Xenopus tropicalis: one gene and its partner. The protein of the gene in region 1 binds, or shares a complex with, the protein of each later gene. Links are inferred from orthologs where the notes say so. Each region holds a gene or a part of one and is shown on either strand. Other genes may lie near its edges.

What was found.
Region 2: the proteins of tnni3 (region 1) and tnnc1 are in contact, whole or in part, in a crystal structure (PDB 4Y99), measured with the Homo sapiens proteins. The link is inferred for Xenopus tropicalis from reciprocal best matches to the Homo sapiens genes TNNI3 and TNNC1. Residues at the interface, in NP_000354.4 of Homo sapiens: Glu32, Pro33, His34, Ala35, Lys36, Lys37, Lys38, Ser39, Lys40, Ile41, Ser42, Ala43, Ser44, Arg45, Lys46, Leu47, Gln48, Leu49, Lys50, Thr51, Leu52, Leu53, Leu54, Ile56, Ala57, Lys58, Glu60, Leu61, Glu64, Arg136; in NP_003271.1 of Homo sapiens: Asp3, Ile4, Lys6, Ala7, Glu10, Gln11, Thr13, Glu15, Gln16, Glu19, Phe20, Ala22, Ala23, Ile26, Phe27, Val44, Met45, Leu48, Gln50, Glu59, Met60, Glu63, Glu66, Asp67, Gly68, Asp73, Asp75, Glu76, Phe77, Met81.

The regions. Positions count from the first base shown.
Region 1 is NC_030683.2:104,548,475-104,552,229, reverse strand, and holds the start of tnni3 (troponin I, cardiac muscle), read right to left. Parts: upstream 2,705-3,755; 5' UTR 2,658-2,704; intron 1-2,657. UniProt on the Homo sapiens protein: Troponin I is the inhibitory subunit of troponin, the thin filament regulatory complex which confers calcium-sensitivity to striated muscle actomyosin ATPase activity.
Region 2 is NC_030680.2:128,885,014-128,888,768, reverse strand, and holds the start of tnnc1 (troponin C, slow skeletal and cardiac muscles), read right to left. Parts: upstream 2,555-3,755; 5' UTR 2,534-2,554; coding exon 2,510-2,533; intron 1-2,509. UniProt on the Homo sapiens protein: Troponin is the central regulatory protein of striated muscle contraction. Tn consists of three components: Tn-I which is the inhibitor of actomyosin ATPase, Tn-T which contains the binding site for tropomyosin and Tn-C.

The sequences.
Region 1 (3,755 bases):
CCATGAGCAGACCTACATTAATTATAGTTAAATAATATAAGTATAGCCCTTCCCCCCAGTGCCTTATGTCCCCTAGCACTTGGCTGACTTTTGGGTTCTGAATCTAGGGGTGTCCCAAGGGACAGTGCTAGGACTCTTTTCTGGCCATTCCGCAGCATTTATAGAGATGGATGCTGCCAAGTAGGTGAAAGCTTGGGGGTGCCCAGGAAAGAGCACCAAAACATGGAATGCATAGCAAAGTGCCATTTTTGCACATGGGCATAACTATAGAAAAAGCAACGTAGGAGGCAAGAAAGCCACATGAGACCATCATTCATGAGCAATTTTTAGGCATACAGCTTCAGGAAGTTTTGGATTGCCCTTAAATGAATTGGCTGTGGAGCCCAGTAACATCTTGTTATGCCAGTATTTTATACAGGCACTTTTGCAGTTAAGTGTGCAAGATTTCAGCCGCCTCCATGTGCTCCATGTGTATTTGGCCTGTGAGGACTGGGAGCAACTAAAGGACCACATTATAGATACGAAGACTGCAGAGTGGTTTACTGAGCTGCTTCTGGGAAACATGGTGGGGGAAACTATTTGTGGTGCACTGCTTGAAAAAAAAAAAAAGTACAAACTGTGAAGTTGCACTTGCCCCATTAATATTCCTCAGTTTAACCACTGGCTAAAACTATAGCTTTCCGATACTCTATGAACAAAGATGAATGAAGTATTTTCCCCTAGAATGAACAATATTATGGGGTCTGTGAGCCCAGCCGCAGTGTATAATGACTGGACGGCTCCCTTTCCAAACATGCAGTTCACCATTTAGGCACTAGATGGAACCCGGGTACCAGAGATTTACCTATTTACACTGCCTTGCATGAAACAATAAAGGTTCTAAGAGCTGTTGAATGAAGGAGAGCAAAATGTAAAAAAATCTGCGCAATTCAGCAGTTTATTTACCCACAGTGCAACTCTGCTTCCCATTTTTGACAGTAATGGTGCCAGACACATCATTTTGCACTGGTGAATCAAAGATTTGCACTGGTAAATTCTGCACAAATGGTACCAACTTGCATCAGCTAAGGAAGGAGCAGTACTTGGACCACTCCTTTGTGCTTCAGGCAAAGTGGGTCCTGTTCCTACTGCTTGGTATGGGCAGATGTTAGGTACAGGGATCCCTTGTGCCATACACTAGAGTGGGTGTAATTGGCAAAATGGGTGTATAGATGAGGGCAAGGGTTAAGCATGAGTGCATTGTGGCATTTTATGGAAGTGGGTTAAGGAAACAGAGCCCCAACTTTCTTGTATGGCCCCTATTCTAGTTCCTATACTATTTGCCTCCACACATTGGGAGCTGAGTGTATCTGGGTGGGTGCCACTGTGTAGAACCAATGTGGGAGGATGAAGGATAAGCTGTCTGTATAGCGATTGGTGGGAATAAGGGGAGAAACACTGAGAATATTTCCATTATTTAAGAAGTGGCTCAGTGTGAGTGGTACCCAAGTCCTATTAATAAGGAAAGGCACAGAGTCAGCATTAAACAGCCGAACCATATCACTGAGCAATGTGGGCACGGTGTGTTCTGCTATGGATCTGCCGATACACAGGCTCGTAGCCCTTCTGTCTGCGCAGGATGCCAGAGCCCAGACGGATAGACAGGCATTAAAATGGCACCCCAATACTAAGGGCACATTGTTGACAAAGCAACATTTTAGTTGTTCCTGCTGTCACTCAGGCTCCCCAGTACCCATCCAATGATGCCAACAGGCAGGCCTGAGGTCTAACCATGGATGCAGCCAGTGAGCTGTTGTGCAAAATTTGGTGAATATCCCCATACCAACCCCAGCATCCGCAGTGACCACCTTCTAACATAATAACACAATAAATATATAGTAATATAGCATTAAATGCTCGCTAGGCCTGTAGGCTGTAACCCAGATCCTGGATTCCTGTCTCAGCCCCTTGTGGCCACGTGCAGATTGTTTATTCCCTGAAATTAGATTGTAAGCTCTGGGACTGGCCCCTTTCCAGGCGAGAGTGACGGTATGGCTGTGTATGTAATTGTGTATCCTGTTACAATTGTTACGACTCATACAATTAGAATAAAGCCTATTGCTTGAGGATGCCATATATACATCATTATAGTTATAGCAGGAGTCAGACAGTGATAGGCACCTTTATATAACATAACCTTGCTACCTGACTATTACATACCCTAGTACCATCCCCTGAAATACCCTGGCACGTTCCCTTCTAATGCCTCTAACTGAAAGGTTGTGCCAAGGAGGAGGGCTGCTCCCTGGTACTTTTGGGTGAATTAATGACCTTCTATAATAATCTCCTGACCAACCAAGGCAATTCAATGCCAACTGCCACCCCAGGAGTCCCAACAACCCAAATGGTCTAAAATTGCCAAATCTTTTTTTTTAATGATAAATATAGATAGACAGTTAGCTATCAGACAAGGTAAGTAATGGAATATGGCATATCAGTAGTCAGTAGTTATGCATACAACTGTATGCCTAATATGAAAGTCAATCCCTCCTGCTGCTGCTGCTGAAGCTCCCAGTAGCTAAGATAGGTTATAGTTCAGCAAGAGCAGGAAGTGCTGGTGAGAAGGGAAGATTACCCCCAGCCCATACATGCCAGTGATCCCTGCCATCCCTGCTTACCTTTAGCTGCTTTCTGGATAATGGGGGATGAGCGAGGGACTCAAGAGAGCGTTGGGACTAAAAGAAAGGCAAATAGCTGAAATGTTATAAAGGGGAGAGGAGCGGACTATTCCATGTAAGGTATTGAGCAGGGAGAAGGCAGAAACAAAGCCTGTCCTATCTGACTGCCACTTTGCTTATCACACTTCTATGTGCCAGACATTCCTCAGCCTACCCAAGCTCCTATTACCTTACACACAAAGCCTGCATGCATTATAGGTCATTTTGTTCTACAGTAATGGCATATTATTCTATAGAAAGGCCTAATTATTCTGCATTTGAGGCCTCATTATAGTGCTTTATAAGTCATGTTATTCTATAGCAGGGCTATATTATAGTGCATTATAGGTCATATTAGGGTATATTAAACTACATTAGTGATGAGCAAATTTTTTCGGCAGGCATGCATTTGATAGAAATTCTGCATTTTGCCAATGGCCAATTTTTGCTGTGTAACTACCATAAAAATTCGCCAACAGGAAAAAGTTGTGGTTACATCAAAAATTTTTTGCAAATTTCTTGTCTTTTTTTTCAACAGTTTTGCAAATTTTTTGGCAAAGCGAAATGGGACAGATTTGCTCATCCCTAAACTACATTATAATAAATATTAAACTGCATTATAGCCCATATTATTCTATAGTAAGGACAGATTATACTGCGAAATGGGACAGATTTGCTTATCACTAAACTACATTATAGACCATATTATATTGCATTATAGAGCATATTATATGATATTATAAGCCATATTATACTGCATTATAGGGCATATTATACTGCATTATAGGGCATATTATACTGCATTATAGGGCATATCATTCTGCATTATAGGGCATATCATTCTGCATTATAGGGCATATCATTCTGCATTATAGGGCATATCATTCTGCATTATAGGGCATATTATACTGCATTATAGGGCATATCATTCTGCATTATAGGGCATATCATTCTGCATTATAGGGCATATCATTCTGCATTATAGGGCATATTATTCTGCATTATGGGCCATATTATTCTGCATTATAGGGCATATTATACTGTATTATAGGGCATATC
Region 2 (3,755 bases), on another chromosome or scaffold:
TTTGGTAACGACTCTCTTTAGCCTATAACAATTTGCTGACACATGAAAGCATTTTTGTATTTGTTATAGTTAGTAAGACACCCCAAACCTTACTCTGACTGGCATCTAGGATACCAGCTCATTGGTCTGGGTCAGAACCTTGCCTTAGGTGGCAGGAAGCAGCCAGTTACTAGTGGTGGCAAAAAGCCACCTCTGGTAACTTTAAAAACAGAATTTTCATGTTTTAAAATGAAAATTCAGCTCTGCCAGTGCAGAGAGTGTAATAGCACTGCATACCAATGCAGCCCCACTAGACCCACTCTGCTGCTAGAATTGTAAGCATGGAATGAGAGAGAGGGGCGGCATTGGCCTCAGCTGGCAGCAGCCCCAAGATCATATATATAGTGGGCAGGTTAGAAAATTCAAGGCAATTTAGGGCAAATTAGTGCATTGGTGCAGCCAATCAGATCAGCCCAATTTGGCCTGGCATGTAAGTGACCAAATCAGACAGACAGATATGCTCATTTGGTGACCATGCCAGAAAGTACGTTAATAAGTGTACAGTCAGCTTAAGCCCAAATAGATATTTTCAATAAATCTTACCCTTGAAAAGACGGACAGAAAGACAGAGATATATGGATGCTCTGGTAGATGGAGGGGCAGTATTTAAACAAACAAATGAATATACAGATAGACAGGCAAAATGCCCATTATCCCTGTAGAGTTTGTATAGCCCCACCATAAAGTCAGTGTGTATGTGTGGGTCAGGGGGGCGTTGGAGTGCTGTGCATGCAGCTGGTATATGCAGGACAAGGAGAAGTGAAGGACAGTGAGTGTGAGTGCAATGTGGCTCATTCTCTGTAATATAATTACTGCAAAGTACCTGTACTTCCATCTAAATCTCCTGATATCTCCAATAGTAGGACACTGTACACTCCCCTTCAAACTCAACATTGCATTAGGGGCATTACATGGTACCAACTCTGCAAGAGGGTTCTATACATGATGAAACATGCTGTATATTATTTCATACTGGCCCATTGTAGACTATGCCTGGCTATGATTTTTCACACTCCTGTTCAGGTCTGGAATGGGATACAAAATAGGCACTGGCATTTCAAGTACACAGAAGCCCAAACAGCCCCCACCAGCCCAATAAATAGTGACTGTCTATGGCACCTTACAGCAGCCCCTCTGGCATTTCCCAGAATCTACAGATTGCCAGTCTGAGCCTGCCCCTGGTAATGAGCTCTAGGGATGCACTGAATCGAGGATTCGGTCCGGGATTCCACCAAAATTTGGAGTTTTTCAGCACAATTCAGATTTGGCCAAATCCATTTGCCAAATTCAAATCCTTAATATCATGTGACTTTTCATCACATAAAGATGAAGTTTTTAGGCACACTCTGTGAGCACGGTTCTCTTTGTCCCATCCCTAGCCTCATTTGACTATGGAAATTAGGATTTGGTTCGGGATTCGGCTGAAAATTTCATGAAGGATTCAGGGTTTAGCCAAGTCCCAAAATAGTAGATTCAGTGCATCCCTATTAATGACATTTGGTATTTCAATATCCTCCGACCATTAATATGCAGAATGCAGCTATATGGGAAAATGATGCTGCTACAGTTTCATTGGCCCCCTGTGCGTTTAGGCCAGTACCAGTACCCTGCGGGATGTTGTATAGGTCCTTACTGAGCCCTACAGACCTGCACAAATCCCTAGATGATGCTATGTTACATATGCTATATTATTCATTATCTAGCACACAATTAAACCTGTCATAAATCTCTATTCATCTGATTAAAATAAGGCATTTACAGTTTCTATTTCAGAGATGTCTTCCCTGTGTTACTGCAGATAATGTGTAAGTTTATACAGAAAATGATTTACCCCTAATTGTAAACTATCAGGATATTAAAAGACACCTAGGAGATCCATGACCATACAGATTATACAGGTCATGAAGTTCTGGGGGACATTATTATAACATACATGTTTCAGCCAGTCATGTGACACAAGTATCATCATTAAGCACTGTTTAAGAGAATACATTTTAAATGTTCATAGTTATACTGTACATTTCCATTTTACATGAATATATGCAGCAACTGACAATATTTCCCATAGACAGCAGTCAAACAGCAGCAGAATCTGATTTGGGATCTGAATCCCATTTGTAAATGAACATCCCCAGTAATGCAGCTGAAGGAGCTCTACAAAGTATAATAACAAGGTGATAGAATCCTTTAAAGTTATTGTGCTTTGACCATATGAGCAGTCATAATTCATTGTTAAAGGTAATTCCTGTAACAATATGGTCAGTGCACAGTGTACTTAGTATATTAATATTTACAGGAATCTCACCCTTCCTAAAACCAAGGGAACTGAACAAGTTGTATACAAATGCCGATCTATATTGCAACCCCTGCATCAGCACCAACCCAGAAGGAGCCCCAGGAGACGGGCTGATGAGCGAGCTTTCAGCTGTAAGGAGTAGGTTAAAGAGAATGCAGAAAGTTGAGCACATACCGCTGCTTTGTAAATATCATCCATTGTGAGTGATGCTGGTCAGGAGCCCAGGAGCCAATTGTGCAACACTGGTGACAGCTGATGGCTCAGTTTATATACCCCCCCCCCCCCCCCCCCCCGGCACTGTTTGCTCCTCCTGAGCCACACGTCAGCCTTCCCCTATCAATGGACACTTTCCAGGACATCCCCTTGGGAAGACAAAAGAGCCCACCTCATGGTTTCAAGTGCATTTATTTATATACCCAGCAGGAGCTGTGTGGCCAAAGATTTCCTTTTTCAGAGATGGAGGCCACAGGTTGGTACTAACATATTCAATAAGGGAAATATCATCACTTCAAAACCATTTTATTCTTTTGTACTGTATGCTGTCCATTTATTTCTATATTCTGAAATAACTGTCAGATACATAGGAGCTGTCCGACCTGCACCCTCCCTGCTGCTTTTCACAAAACAGAGAGCAAAAACCCTTTTCTATAGGATATTTTTCCTTTATTTCATATATATAACATTTCATGCTGTTCCTGGTACCAGCTGTCTGTGCTGCATCCTCACCCCCCGTCTTGGCTAAAAGATAAATTCACTGCACGACTGAAAAGAGTTCTTTAAAGAGTTCTAAATGTGTCAAAACAAACAAAATGCTGGAATTCATTCTCAGAGTTTAGAGGGAATGCCATATGTTTTCGCCTACAGAAACACTGCTACTACTGACAGGTGCTAAAGCAAGTGTCTCTGAGCCGAGGCTACTGGTCACCGCCAGCATGTTTCCCATAGCTTGCTAAAGGGAGCAGTGACAAGATTTTGTGTGTTGTGACTGACACTGTCCTATACTATAGGCTTAAAGTTCTAGGGAAGAAAAACAAAAACTAAAGTAAAATGAATATATTAAATTGTGTGAAAACTATAGGATAATACTATAGGCACCACCTCTCCCTACTATACCTGCTATCCCACAGCCCCAGTCCCTTCCCAGAGACTATTATCCCCACTGCTACTATAGGCACCATCTCTCCCTACTATACCTGCTATCCCACAGCCCCAGTCCCTTCCCAGAGGCTATTATCCCCACTGCTGCTATAGGCACCATCTCTTCCTACTATACCTGCTATCCCACAGCCCCAGTCCCTTCCCAGAGGCTATTATCCCCACTGCTGCTATAGGCACCATCTCTTCCTACTATACCTGCTATCCCACAGCCACAGTCCCTTCCCAGAGGCTATTATCCCCCACTGCTACTATAGGCACCATC